Linked DNA regions of Neurospora crassa OR74A. The protein of the gene in region 2 purifies or fractionates together with the protein of the main gene of each other region. This does not show direct contact. Links are inferred from orthologs where the notes say so. Each region holds a gene or a part of one and is shown on either strand. Other genes may lie near its edges.

Region 1 (4,012 bases), on a different chromosome or scaffold from region 2:
CCCCTTCCAGAAACGCTTACCAGGTTGACGCAAAAACTGAAGTTGGCTATGAGGTTGGCCGTCAATCTCGAAAGATATGTAAAGAAGCCTTTTACTTTCATCCACTGAAAGTAAGAAGCTCCGACGTTCCTGAAAGGTCCCTCCCGCCACAGCGCAACTCCGGCCCTCTCAAAATATATCACCACTGGAAACATCTACTGAGGGGATAAAAAAAAGGAGAAATAAAGAAAGGGGAATGGGGAGCGTATAGTAGAGGCATCTTCCTCTTTATAAGTACATATTAAAGGCAACAGGAGACTACTGGAATCTCCATGGGATTAATAGGCGCCCAGTATGGGAGCAGACCGTCAGTGCTCTCTTTGGTCGTCATAGCCCGGCTTGACCACTCTTTAGGTGGCTCGCCAGCGACTCAGACCTGCCTTCTGAGAAAGTGTCTCTACTCGAAAGCAGGAGGCTTCGCCCTGAAAACAGGCAAAACCATTACAAGCTCGTTTGAGGAGACGACAATCTCAGGCAGGCTTTACTGCTTTCATCATCCGGTTGCTTTACTTGCTGCGTCTGTGTCGCAAGGGATGATGGCCAAAAGTGTAGCCAGATCAAACGGGATGGGGTGAGGTATGAGAGAGAAACGCCAAACGCATCAAAGCAGGATACGCAGGCTGGAAGATGACATGATCCATTATTCTTTTAGCGCCATAGAAGCCATACCCGAGCCCATTAGCAAACAAGACAAGAGAAAGAAACCAAGAAAAGCTGATACTTGTAGACGACCACAGCTTAGTGCTTCCTCCTCGACGTGCTGTTCACCAACTTCTTCTTCATCGCCTTGGGTATCTTCTCTTTCCTCTTCTCCCTCTTGGCCTCCTTAACCGCCGCCTTGTGCTGCTTCTTTTCGTCCTTGTCGATGAACCTCTTGCCTCTTGGTGTTCCCTTTTCGAATCGGCTCTCGTCATCCTCGTCATCACTACCCTCCTCTTCGTCACCACTGCCCTCCTCCTCCTCATCAGACTCCTCCTCTTCCTGATCCTCCGCCGTCTTGTGCACCACTTGATCCGCCAACAGGTTCTTGTATACCAAATCCTCTCCTTGACCCTCGTTTACCTTGGCGACATCCTTCTCGATATCGTAAACCTCGTTCAGCGTCTTGGGGATGTACTGGTTTCTGAAAACCTCATTGTCGACCTCCTGCTCGGCCCTGGCCTCCGCGGTATCCTCCACCTCCACCCTCGTCTGGTACAGCTGTTCGACCGTCTCCTTCATACCGGGTTCCTCGGCCGGTCCCTTGGGGTTGACGATGAAATCGAAAATCGTGCGGTCTGAGAGCGTGTCGACACCCTTCCTCCTGAAGAAATCGCCGACGTTCTTGATATCCATACGCAGGAACTCGAGCGAGTGGGGATGGTCGTGCTCGACGGATTGGGAAACATCAATGATGTAGAGCTTCTTGTTGTTGTAGAGGATGTTGTATTCCGACAGATCGGCGTGGACGAGGCGGCAGACTTGGTACAGCTTGCGCATGAGGCCGAGGAGTTGGATGTAGAGGTCGCGCCATTGTTCATCGGCGTCGTCGCCCGAGATGGGAGCGTCGCGCAAACGGGGGTAGGCCCAGCCCTTGCGATCTCCCAAGAAGCTCATGACGAGCACGTGCAGCTTGAGCTTGATGGGCTCCGGGCAGGGGATGCCGGCTGTGTACAAACGGCGCAGGTTTCTGAATTCCTTTTCGGCCCAGAGCTTGACCATCTTCCTGTTGTTTCCCTTTTCACTGCCGCTCTTGAAGCGGTGTTCACCAGTAATGTACTTCTCGCGATCCTTGAACACCAGAATGGCCGTCTTGTAGATCTTGATGGCCTTGTGTATGGGGGCCGAGCCATCCTCGGGGTGGAGTATGGCACCGTAGACGTTGGCTTCCTTGCCCGTGCTGATGGCGCCGTGAATCTCGGAGACAAAGCCCTGGTTGATCATCTGCAGCAGGATCATGCGCGTGCGCTGGTCGAGGACGAGTTCGGAGGTGGCGCGATCGGACTTGTCTTTGCTGCGCTCGGCGGGACCGGAGGCATTGTCGAAGGCGTCGATGCGGATCTTTCCGGCGAACTTGGAGAGGGCGGCGATCTGGTCGTCGACGCGGGCCGACGTGTTGGCTGTGGGTTTTTGTTGCTGGGCCTGAGCTTGGGACTGCTGAGAGTTGGTAGCACCGGCGCCATGTTGTTGGCGGTTGTACGACTTGGTCAGGTCGGTGCCGCCATCTTCGTAGTCGAGGTCATCGTCGGATTCAAAGACATCTTGGAGGTCGTCGTCGTCGTCTTCCTCTTCGATCGCAAGGTTGTTGAGCTGGGCGGTGGTGTTGCTGAGGTCGACATTCTGGTTGTCGGTCGCCGCTGTGGTCGACGTGAGTTCTGGTTGGGACGCCATCTTGCTGCCGAGTCTGCTTTCGTCAGTTCCGCCGATATCAGCAGGTGGTGATGAGACAGGATGGCAGACGAAATGGAAATCGTCATGGAACTTGCGAACTTCCACTTCCCGTCCACTGGCAATTTTCTTGGTGGGGCGAGCTTACCTTATCTTATCGTAATGCGGGGTGTCTTCCAGTGGTAGGGCTGTTTTCGAGATTCAGGGTTAGGGTAATCCGTGAGTATCGAGTTCTTGACGACGACTCGACTCGAAGACGGATTGGAATGGAACTGAAGATGTTCTTGGATGTTTCCGTTCCACATGATATGGCTGCTTGTTAAGTAGTCTTCGGCTCACTTTAGGCTTCAGCATTCATAACATCTTTTCTTGCCTCTCCGAGTACAGACATTGCACCCCTGCACCGATGGCGACCAGTTTGCCACTGGAGTGAGCTTGTCGCCTAATAGTTAGTACGCTAGGCGATGATGCTGACGCTATCATTCTGATTCATTCCACTTCCACATTCATTCCTTGAGCTTTGGTTTGCATCTTCGACATCTCAACACGGTGCGGAACACACCTACTTCTGCCGGTGACTCAATCAACGCCAACAGCACTAACAGCACCCAGTGTACGCTTCCCTGTTGGACAGAACCCAGCTGTTAGTGCTCAAAAGGGGCGACCACCCAAAAGCCAATTCTCCACCCATGGGGCATAGGCCGATCCCCAAAGTCATCAAGCTAGCAATGGACACCATGGTCCCGGGTAATTACAGGGAAACCTAACATCATCCTTCTTACATTCCATTTTACTCACGGTCAAATCTGGTATATGACCTCTGGATATTTGCGTCTCATCAATGGAAACGATGGAGACTTGCAATCAAAGTAAACCCATCACGACCTTCTGGCCTGCTTCCACCTCATCCTGCAGGCATACATTGACATGACGCGTTTAGATGATTCGATTCATGGTCGTTGATGACTCCCACGTCAACAAACGGATAATGGGTCATCGACCACCCGAGTTCAGGAATGAACATATTTACATCATGTGTGAGCCGCAACTTGATGTCAACACGGAGCATATAATAGCACAGGGCCACAGTTTCCAACATCCAATAGGTAGGCGCGTCTCCCAATTCCCTTTTTATTTTATTCCGGCAACCCCCATCGGGATTCCAGCCTTGCCTAAACGGGCTCACAACTTCACTCACCATGTGCCACTCCTACATGGAACATCACTTTTGCCGTAATGGCGCCGATTGTCCAGCCGGCTATGGCTGGGTCAACGAGCAAGGGCAGCTGTACCGACGATGGTTCGAGCGCACTAGAAGACGGGTTTACTGCTATGCCAGTAGCAGCGACTGCCCAACCCGCAAGCGGGTGTTGATGACTGACTTATTCGTTTCAAGACGGATTGATGAGCTGTGTCCCCTTTGCTCGGCCGCAGCATGATTGGTATGGGAACAGTAATGGCGATGAGGTTGCTAGGGGGATATTTAGTCATTTGGGTCAAGGTCACCCGGGGCCTTAGAGATCTATTCGGAAACTTTGTTTTATGCTCGGAGTTTCCATAGATTGCTTTGATGCTCTGCCCCATTTCATGTCGAACATTCGCTTCT
Region 2 (5,494 bases):
CGTGGTCGTACTCGCTCTCGAACCGGCTGGCCTTTCTGCCGCCGGCCTCGTCGTCCGAACCCTCACCGGCCTCCTTGCCGGCCTCCTTTCTCCTCTTCGCGCGCTCCTTGGTCTTGCGGATGTTGACAATCAACTTCCTGTCATCCTCGGGACAGTACTTGCTAACGGCCTCAAAGCCAAAGCGACGGATCATACGCTCGATAATGTGCTTGACCTTGGAGCGGAAATGGCCCTTGTGCTCGTGACTCCAAACCATGACGTTGGGAATGAGTGTGGGAAGGCGGGGTGTCATCATCTCGGTGGGCAGACTGATGATGCAGACCTTGACGAAGCCAAGAACGCTCTTCACGATTTCGCGGTTGTTGGAAGTAAGGAAGAGGTCCATGGTCTGGACAAGGTCGGACAGTGTTTCCTTACTGACGGTCTCGCGGAACTCATAAAGAACGCGGGTAATGGCAGTGATAGAGGCCGAAATCATGTGGGGGGTACTGCCAGCCAAACCGGCACTGACCATGGTGAAGAACTCCTCAATAGAGGCGGTAGCCGCAGGAGCATCCGCGGGCATGTGAGGGACCTTGCTGTTATCGATCAAAGAGCCCTGAGCAGAAACCATCTTCTGGCCAAGGAGAACCAGAAGGTCGAAGGCGGTAGTGCGAGCCTTCTCGTTGTGCTCCTTGCAGCCAATGACAACCTCTGAAAGAATGGAGGGAATGAAGTGCAGGGAATCGTTGGGGATGAAGTGAATCAGAGCAGCAATGGCAGCCAGGCGCTCTCTCCGGGCAGGTGCCGACACCTTCTCAGAGCTGGACAGGAACAGGGTTTGGAGCTCGCCATGTCTCTCCTCGAGGGCGGCCTTGCCGATGGGGGAATCCGCCAAGCGAGGAATGAGCTTGTAAGCCTTCTTCTGCAGCTGAGGGTCATCATCCTTGAAGATGACCACTGAAGCGATCTTAAAAAGAGCCTCGAAGCTGGCACGGGGGAGGTAGATAGACATGGTAACGACCAGGTCCATGAGAGTGTGCGCGGCAGAAGGCATGTGATCGGCCTTCTGCTGTTGTTGGGGCTTCTTCTCAACAGCCTCTTGAAGAGCCTCGGCGAGCTTCTCGCACACCATGTCGAAAGTCTCGGTAAGACGCGCGGGAGGGATGATGCTGAGGTAGGCGTTGATGGTCTGGAGGACAGGGCCGCGCTTCTGGGGGAGAGTGGTGCTGTAGACGTTGAAGAGAACAGCGAGGAAATCAGCTGCAAAGGTGGCTCCGAGGTACTCCAAGTTCTTCTGCGCCTGCTCCTTGCTGACCCTGCCAAAGAGAATGAGGTCATCGACCTCATCGGAAGTGGCGATGGCCTGGTTGGACTCAACAACGGTCCTGAGGGCGCGACAAATATCCAAGCGCAGGTCAACCTGCTCATACAAAAGGTTGGTCAACATCTCAGCGAAGCCTGTGTCAAAGGCCTCGACAAGATCAAGTGGAAGGTCGCAGTAGCCGGGAAGAATCGACCAAATTTGCTGAACAACAGTCTCGAAAATCTTGATGTGAATGTTCTTCTCGCCCTGGTGCTCAATCACACGCTGGAACATGATAGCACTGAGAGGAACCAATTCGCTCTTGAAGTGTGCAAGATTGGTGTTGGAGGTGTAGTCACGGAGAAGAGGAAGCATCCAAGCTCTGCCAGGCTGACCCTTGACGGGCTTCGCGAGGTTCAGGGGAAGAACATTCAAGACCGCCTCAGGACCCATTGCACGAATCGCCTTGCCAAGGACCTCGTCGGCTTCCTGCTTTCCAGCGAAAGAATCGTTACCGCGGATTTCGCCGATGCTCTTGACGACGGAAAGGAGGTAAGGGTTAGCCTGCCACCGAAAGGCATCGAACATGGCACCAAGAACGTTGAAAGTCTCCATCCAGGCAGCTTGGTACTGGACGGTGAGAAGGCCCTCGACAACCTTGACTAGTTGCTGAATGACCTTCTCGTCAAAAATCGAAGGCTCAAGGATGGCCTCCTTGGGGACACAGTTGGCCAGGAAGGAGACCAAGCACTCGGACGCCGAAACGCGAATATTCTTGTGCTGGGACTCGAGGTATCCTGCAACCAGAGTGAAAGGATCGACCAGCTCTTGGAAGGTCTCGGCGGGCGAAATCTGACCGGCAACATCGTAGGCTCTCGACAGAATGGCGATCCAGGGAGGGAGAAGCTGGGTATCGTTGGGCGCGGGACGGAGCTCTCTGATGATCTCGAGCAGCCGAGGAAGCTTGGCGGAGGCAACCTCGTCGGCGGCCATGCCCTCGAACATCATCTCGAAGATCTCGAAGACAGCCATGCTCATGTGCTCGTTGCCCGTCCGGGCAATGCTGAGAAGGAGCTCGCACAAAGACTCAATGCTCTTGCTGGGCCAGCCACCGCTTCCAGAGGCGACAGCCTTGACGAGTTGCAAGGCGTGGATAAGCTCGGGATCGTGGGTAGAGTCGGTAGTCTTCTTTTCCTTCCTCTGGGCGGCGGCCTTGTCAGCGACAAGACGGAGGCTCTGCATGGCTGTCTCGGCGCACATGGGGGCGGCGGGGTGGTCGAGAGACGGGCTCGGCGGAGGGTTCTTCAGGATGTTCCTGAGCGCTTCCTGGGCTCTCTTGCGGACTTTGGGACGCGGGTCGAGGGCAAGGGCGAGGAGGCCGGCCACAGCCCGGCGGGGGCCAATCTGGGCGGTACCGAGCTCCCACTGTGTCGCATCTTGAGCAAGGAGCAAGCTCTCGAGAGAGCCGATCGAGGCCCTCATGAGGGGAGCATCGGCATCGGGGAGGGATAGTACTGGCGCGAGGATGGTGATGATCTGAGTGAACTTGGCCTGAAGAATAGGCTTTGGAGCGAAGGGAGTGACGACATCGAGGAGGTAGACGACGGGGGTCGCGAGGTTTTCGTTGTTGAGTAGACTGAGAAGGGCAGCGAAGTAGGCGGTAGGAGTCGCGGGTGTATTGCGCTCCTTGAAGGTGGCCTCGATAGCCTCGAGGACACTGGCAGTCTGTGGCTCAAGTCAGGGTCCATTGTCCACGATGGAGGCGGCCTTGCGACAGGCCACTGCAATGGCAGGCTGGAAGGAAGAGGGTAGGGATGCAGAAGACAAAAGATGGAAAAAGGAGAGATGCATCATGACTCTGGCTTACCTGCTTCTGGCTCTGGAGATTCGGAGACCGAATCTTGTCCAGTTTCTCCTGCAAAGACGGAGAAGAAGCCATCGTGAATGTGATGGAATGGCGCTGGAGTGGGACAATGCAAGCCGCTTCGCAGTGCTGAAATCGATGTCATGAAGAACAGAAAAGTTCGAAAAGTTGTCGCTTATCGGCGCGCACGCCCCACCCGCTGTCATTGATAAGGGTCTGGCGCTAGTCCGAAGCGGCTCCCAACTGTAACTCCAGGGTTAGCTATGGCATCTCATGCTTATAGAGGTACCTATGTTTCGCTTGGGCAGCCATCAAGGTTATGAGATACAACAATTCATGTTGGATCGTACGAACAACGCGTACCCACTAGGAACAAGTTTCTATTGCTTTAAGCCCATCTCTACCCCAGACAGCAGGTTTGTTTGGGTCTTCCGTAAATCACCAAAGCGTCGATGACCGTATTCATGATATGACAGTTCATCCCCCTCCCAACCAGAAAACGCCGGTACGATAACAAAGAAAAGAAAAAGGAAAGAAGGAAACCAGAAAGTGATAAATGGCTGTATATCACAAGTTCCTCCACCCTGTTTATGAAAACTCGTTGTCTGCCTCCTCAAAGTTGTTCTTGATCTGGAGAAGAACAGCCGCCTTCCAGTCATCGAGCCGGCTCATCTTATCGTACGCGGCAAGCTTATCCTGGAACATCTCGAGGTTGTTGTTTGAGGCTGCTTCCAACAAGTCAACCAGGAGTTGGTATTCGCGCTGGCCCGTAAATGATGGGTCCTTCTCGGCATACTTGGTGATGTTACGCTGAGCAGTGACCATATCCTTGGTCGCCAAGGAGCAGAGACCGGCCTTGAGGAAGTACTCCTTGACCGAGTACCTCATCAGGTTGTTGCCGAGTGAAGCCTCCGCAACCTTCTCGAACTTCTCTATAGCGGCGAAAAAGTCGCCCGCGAGGGCAGAGAGGTCGGCCACCTTGAGCCACAGCTTGTTCGCAAGACTACACACAGCTGGTTAGAACGACCTGTTGGACTCGTAACATGGCGCAAAAGCCGTGGGCATTAATCACTTACGCGACAGCACCGTCGTTCTCATACCACTCGGCCGCAGTTGTATAGGCCTTGATAGCCTCTGGCTTATTCTGCAGCTCGTTTTCGTAGACCTCAGCCTGGTTCTCCTTGTGCGACGCAGCTCTCCGGAAGTTCCCCGCCATGGTATACTGCTTGATGGCAACCTCGACGCAGCGCACAGCATTATCCGGGGCATCTTTCCTATAGACCTTGAAGGCGTCCAACATGGCATTCGCCGCATCGTTGGGCTCCTTCAACTTCTCAGTGAAGATCTTGGCAGCTTCCTCGAAACACTTGCCGGCCTCGGTGTCTGGGTAGTGGGCAGAACGTTAGGACTTGCCGCGAGGTTCATATGGCCCGAAAGCGCATCGTGGGTGTTGATGATTGTGATGACGTACTTGACTTCTGCAACCTGAAAGCGTTGGCCGCTTGTATGTACTGATCCGCCGCATTTTGGTACTTGTCTTCCTTGTTTCCGAACAGACCCCAGCCTTTGGACGCGCTCGCGAGGGTCTTCTCTGCCTGGTGTTCGCATTCGGCATCAGCAAGGTGTCGCGAAAGTGTCAGGAGGTGCCAGGAGGGGCAGGTTTCAAACCTCTTGTTGGAGAACGCGCGGATCGACAGCCATGAAGGGCAAGTTATTAGACGGTATATAGATGGGCAAAGTTCTAAGTTGGAGTCGCGTCCGCTGTATGAAGCCGATTGATGGGTGTCCCAATTGTTCGGAATCGGGCGCGCTCGAAGAAGCTCAGGTGTTGGTCGGGATGGTGTCGTGTTGGTGGTTGCAGGAGCCCGAGGTGTTTCGTTGTCTCCCGGGGTAAGGTATGCGGGCATGGGATTGGGGGGTTGGCCGGTACTCGTGCTCCGCCCCCACTTTTTTGGGTCTCGCCAAACTCGCACCAACTAAAGTTGGTGCTCACGACTGCAACGGCCACACCAGCGCAACGGCCAGGTTAGGGTTAGAGGTGCAATTTCGGGCTTGATTTATAGGCCAGAAACATAATCTTTCTAATGTATTGGCTTTTCTAAGCAGAAAAATGCTTCCTATATACGATGTACTTCCCTAATTATACTTATAGTATTTTACTTATCTCAATTGGTTGTTGTGATGAGTTACAAGCTTCTGATATCTTGATGCTGAACTATGCTCACTATGGTGGCCGTTGTGGTGGTGTGGCCGTTGCAGTCGTGAGCACCAACTTTAGTTGGTGCGAGTTTGGCGAGATCCAAAAAAGTGGGGGCGGAGCACGAGTATTGGGGGGATGATCACTT
Region 3 (3,671 bases), on a different chromosome or scaffold from region 2:
CTTCGGGCTCCGTTGCAAGTTTTCCATCAGCCGTTGTTGTTGTTGTTGTTGGGGCTGAAGATGACCCTGCATTGCTACTCCCAGTCCACCCGCTGAAGAAAGAAGCTCGTTTCTTGGAAGACGCGTTTGTCCTTGGGCTTCGTGGACGGAATGCAAAGGGTCGTCTGGCATAGGCTTCGTGGTTCGTCTTGGGCGGCCTTGGAGGCTCAATAGGAAGGAATTTCAAGCCGGTCTGCATCCTCCAGTTCTCCTTGAAAAAGCCCGGTCTCTGAATGGTAACCTTGACATAGTATCGAATCTCGCACTGGCCTGGGAATCCGGTGAAACTGGGTGGGAGCGTCTTTGTGACATGGGAGTACATCAGCTGCTTGGTGCCGTCCATAACACGAATGCCACCGAGACCGAACAAGCCAGAACCCGACGCGATTCCACCGGCACCAGAAAGGCCTCCTAGTTTGGCCATGGCGACAGGATCACCACAAGCATTGTTGAAGGGAAACTTGAACTGGAAGGGGAATCTGTGTTGACCAGCGGCTAGGACATAGGGCTGTGGCAAGGCGTTGGTCTTCTCGTCGGGAAAGGCCTGGGTGACTTTGTATAGGATCTTGTGGTTCTCGTAGATAACATCGCCGGTTGGAGTGCGCTCCCTCTGAGCAATGCCGGTCCCTGAGCCATCGGCGGGTACTCCCAAGGCCGACTTGGCTTCACCCTCGAGTTTGACGATGATGCCTCCGATCTGTTCGGGACGACTGAGAGTGAGGACGACCTGGCCGCGGATAATATCCAGGTTTGTGTAGAACTCGGGAGGGTTTTCGAGGGCGATCCGTATCGACATGGTTGCGATTGATTATCGTCAACTTCAACAGAGAAATGAGGCTATCACCACATGAACCAAAACAACAAGGAATAACCAGTGGGTCACACGCCCAGGTATGAGCCAAGGAGAAGATGATGGAAAAGAATCTGTTATTTTTTTTTTACAATCCGATTTCCTCGAACCTTGGGAGGGGGTTGGTATTATAGGTAGGTAGATGAAAATTCAAAGCCACTGCCTGTCTGCTTCGATGTGATCAGCTTCACACGGCAGTTAGGTGATGACGGGGAAGACCCTCACTGAAAGACCGGAGGATTTGCCGTTTAAGTGCTGGGTAGCAATTTGAACCCGCCGCACATGTTTAGGGCGGCCTCCGCTGTTACGTCAGACGGGGAATCATCGGTCGGAAGTGGCCGAGGTGCCTGGATTCCACTGATGTTTCCAGTGGGCTGGGCCGCCGCCGCCGCCCGCATGGTGTCTCAATGGGGAAAGCGGTCAGCCTTTTGCTTATCTTATCAGCCACATGTCTGGCGGGGCATCTTTTTTTCTGCCGCCTGATCCACTCAAAAAAAAGATGTCGGCCGGGGTCCGGCGCAGGCACAAGGAAGCTCTCTTCAGCCTGCGGTACCTCTGTCCGTCTCACAATAGAGGTACATACTACAGCCATTGCGCGACTGCCGTGACTTGAGAACGAACCGCCCAAGTCTCGACCCGGACAGAGATCGACCGAAACGACGAAACCCTCCATCGATCCCCCAACCTTCTCGTCCGACCTCGATTCCGAGTCGTCTTCCTCCACACACCTACCCACGACAGCATTGACTAGACTACACCATGCCCAAGGCAGCGAAGGCGTCCAAGAAGTCGGGGGGCGGCGGCAACCCCTACGATCGCAAGGGGGGCGGCGGCGGCGGCAAGGCTACCAACACCAACATCTTCAAGTTCGACAAGGACTTTGGCCAGCATATCCTCAAGAACCCCGGTATCTCGGATGCCATTGTCGACAAGGCCTTCCTCAAGCCCACCGATGTCGTCGTCGAAGTCGGTCCCGGTACCGGCAACATCACGGTCCGCGCCCTTGAAAAGGCAAAGAAGGTCATCGCCATCGAGCTCGATCCTCGTATGGGTGCCGAAGTTACCAAGCGTGTCCAGGGCACTCCGCTAGCCAAGAAGCTCGAGGTCATTCTCGGCGATGTCATCAAGATGCCCGAAATGCCTCCATGCGACGCTCTCATCTCCAACACTCCCTACCAAATTTCCAGTCCGCTCATCTTCAAGATGTTGGCCATGCCCAACCCGCCCCGCGTCGCCGTACTCATGTTTCAAAGAGAATTCGCAAAGAGACTGGTGGCTCGGCCGGGTGATGCTCTCTACTCGAGATTGAGTGTCAATGTCAACTTCTGGGCCACATGCAAGCACATCATGAAGGTCGGCAAGCAGAACTTCAAGCCTCCTCCCAAGGTCGAGTCCGACGTCGTCAGAATTGAGCCCCTTGTTGGTTCGGCGCGCCCCAACATTGCTTTTGAGGAGTTCGACGGTCTCCTTCGCATTGCTTTCAACCGCAAGAACAAGACCCTTTATGCCGGCTTCAACCAGAAGGAGGTCCTCAACATGTGCGAGAGGGTACGTTTCTTCCCATGTGTTCACAAGCTCCAACTCTTACTGACCACTTCGTTTCCAGAACTACAAAGTCTACTGCACCCTCAACAACATCCCCATCGACGAGTCCCTCGCTTCCGCGGCTGACCTTGCTGCCGCCGGCGCCACCAACGATGCCATGGACGTCGAGATGGACGACGACAACGAAGACAATGATAACGAAGAGAACAACGACGATGACGAGGCTATGGAGGAGGATGAGGACGAGGACATGCCCGTCTTCTTCAAGGAGCAAAACGACGCCAACGCTAAGGACGCCAAGACACCTAGCAAGAACCCCAAGTCCAAGGTGGCCTTGATAGTCAAGGCCAAGTTGAACAAGGTGCTTACGAGCACCGGTTTGGCGGACAAGAGAGCTAGGCAGTGCGATCAGAACGATTTCCTCAAGCTGTTGCTTGGTACGTTTTCTTCCCCCTCGGCTTCCCTTTCTGATGGACAACCTCGCTAACACTCCTGACAGCGTTCCACGAGGAGGGTATTCACTTCTCTTAGACGTGTGTTATTATTGCGAACACGCACAGAAATCATCGGCGTACGGGGCGTTTTTTGGGGATTGGGAAAATGTCGTTTTTTAAAAATTCTTTGTTTTGTTCCATTTGTCGTGGAAATACCATTGATCTGGATGCTAGGATTTGCACAATCATAAAAGCCAATGAATCTGGCTGCCACTTTTGCCAGGAATCGAACCATAATCATCTTTCGTTTGGATTGCTTGAGCGTCGGATGTTGTTCTCTTCGTCACGTTGCTCAAACATTGCTGAGAAGCAATTGCTGACAATACCAGACCTACCGCATCGAGATGTCTTTTATAATAAAACCATGGATCGGGGGAGTGGTCAGTGACCTACGGGACCGAGTCCTTGGAGTAACAGGGAAACGGAAAGCACAGGAGAGCAAGCTGTTTTCCTACCCTACCTCTCTCAGTAACAGGCGCCGAGTGCGTCGTTACCAAGCCAGAAAGCGTGGAAGCCTTCTTTCGATAGCTTGTCAGTTGTTCAAAACCATTGAAGAGGGGCAAAGAAAAAGAAGAAGAACAAATGGTGACCGCAACTTATATTTTGGAAAGCACGACACTGGATACTAAAATGTGTCGCCGTTCTTGTCCTTCTCTCCTCCACTCCTCCATTCTTCGACCTCCATCCTCCGCACCCAACACCCATAGCCCAAAAACCACGAAGGTCTCAGCACCCATGCCATC

Evidence for each region.
Region 1: the proteins of NCU01675 (region 2) and stk-52 purify together in Saccharomyces cerevisiae (affinity purification with mass spectrometry; 3 studies listed by BioGRID). This does not show direct contact. The link is inferred for Neurospora crassa OR74A from reciprocal best matches to the Saccharomyces cerevisiae genes RRP12 and RIO1.
Region 3: the proteins of NCU01675 (region 2) and NCU08968 purify together in Saccharomyces cerevisiae (affinity purification with mass spectrometry; 5 studies listed by BioGRID, with this or other methods). This does not show direct contact. The link is inferred for Neurospora crassa OR74A from reciprocal best matches to the Saccharomyces cerevisiae genes RRP12 and DIM1.

Annotation. Positions count from the first base shown.
Region 1 is NC_026503.1:5,215,472-5,219,483, forward strand, and holds stk-52 (serine/threonine-protein kinase RIO1), read right to left. Parts: upstream 2,801-4,012; 5' UTR 2,555-2,800; intron 2,423-2,554; 5' UTR 2,410-2,422; coding exon 778-2,409; 3' UTR 291-777; downstream 1-290. UniProt on the Saccharomyces cerevisiae protein: Required for the final endonucleolytic cleavage at site D converting 20S pre-rRNA into the mature 18S rRNA. Required for the final steps of cytoplasmic maturation of the 40S ribosomal subunit.
Region 2 is NC_026502.1:2,739,111-2,744,604, forward strand, and holds the start of NCU01675 (90S preribosome component RRP12), read right to left. Parts: upstream 3,321-5,494; 5' UTR 3,225-3,320; coding exon 3,153-3,224; intron 3,011-3,152; coding exon 1-3,010. Other genes in the region: NCU01674 (alpha-soluble NSF attachment protein), read right to left, coding at 3,738-4,152, 4,226-4,532, 4,621-4,744, 4,818-4,850. UniProt on the Saccharomyces cerevisiae protein: In association with GSP1, required for nuclear export of both pre-40S and pre-60S ribosomal subunits. Required for the late maturation of the 18S and 5.8S rRNA of the pre-40S ribosomes and for maturation of the 25S and 5.8S rRNA of the pre-60S ribosomes.
Region 3 is NC_026505.1:5,864,622-5,868,292, forward strand, and holds NCU08968 (dimethyladenosine transferase), read left to right. Parts: upstream 1-1,400; 5' UTR 1,401-1,648; coding exon 1,649-2,437; intron 2,438-2,495; coding exon 2,496-2,871; intron 2,872-2,933; coding exon 2,934-2,965; 3' UTR 2,966-3,171; downstream 3,172-3,671. Other genes in the region: NCU08967 (arrestin domain-containing protein), read right to left, coding at 1-835; NCU08969 (hypothetical protein), read right to left, coding at 3,525-3,671. UniProt on the Saccharomyces cerevisiae protein: Specifically dimethylates two adjacent adenosines in the loop of a conserved hairpin near the 3'-end of 18S rRNA in the 40S particle.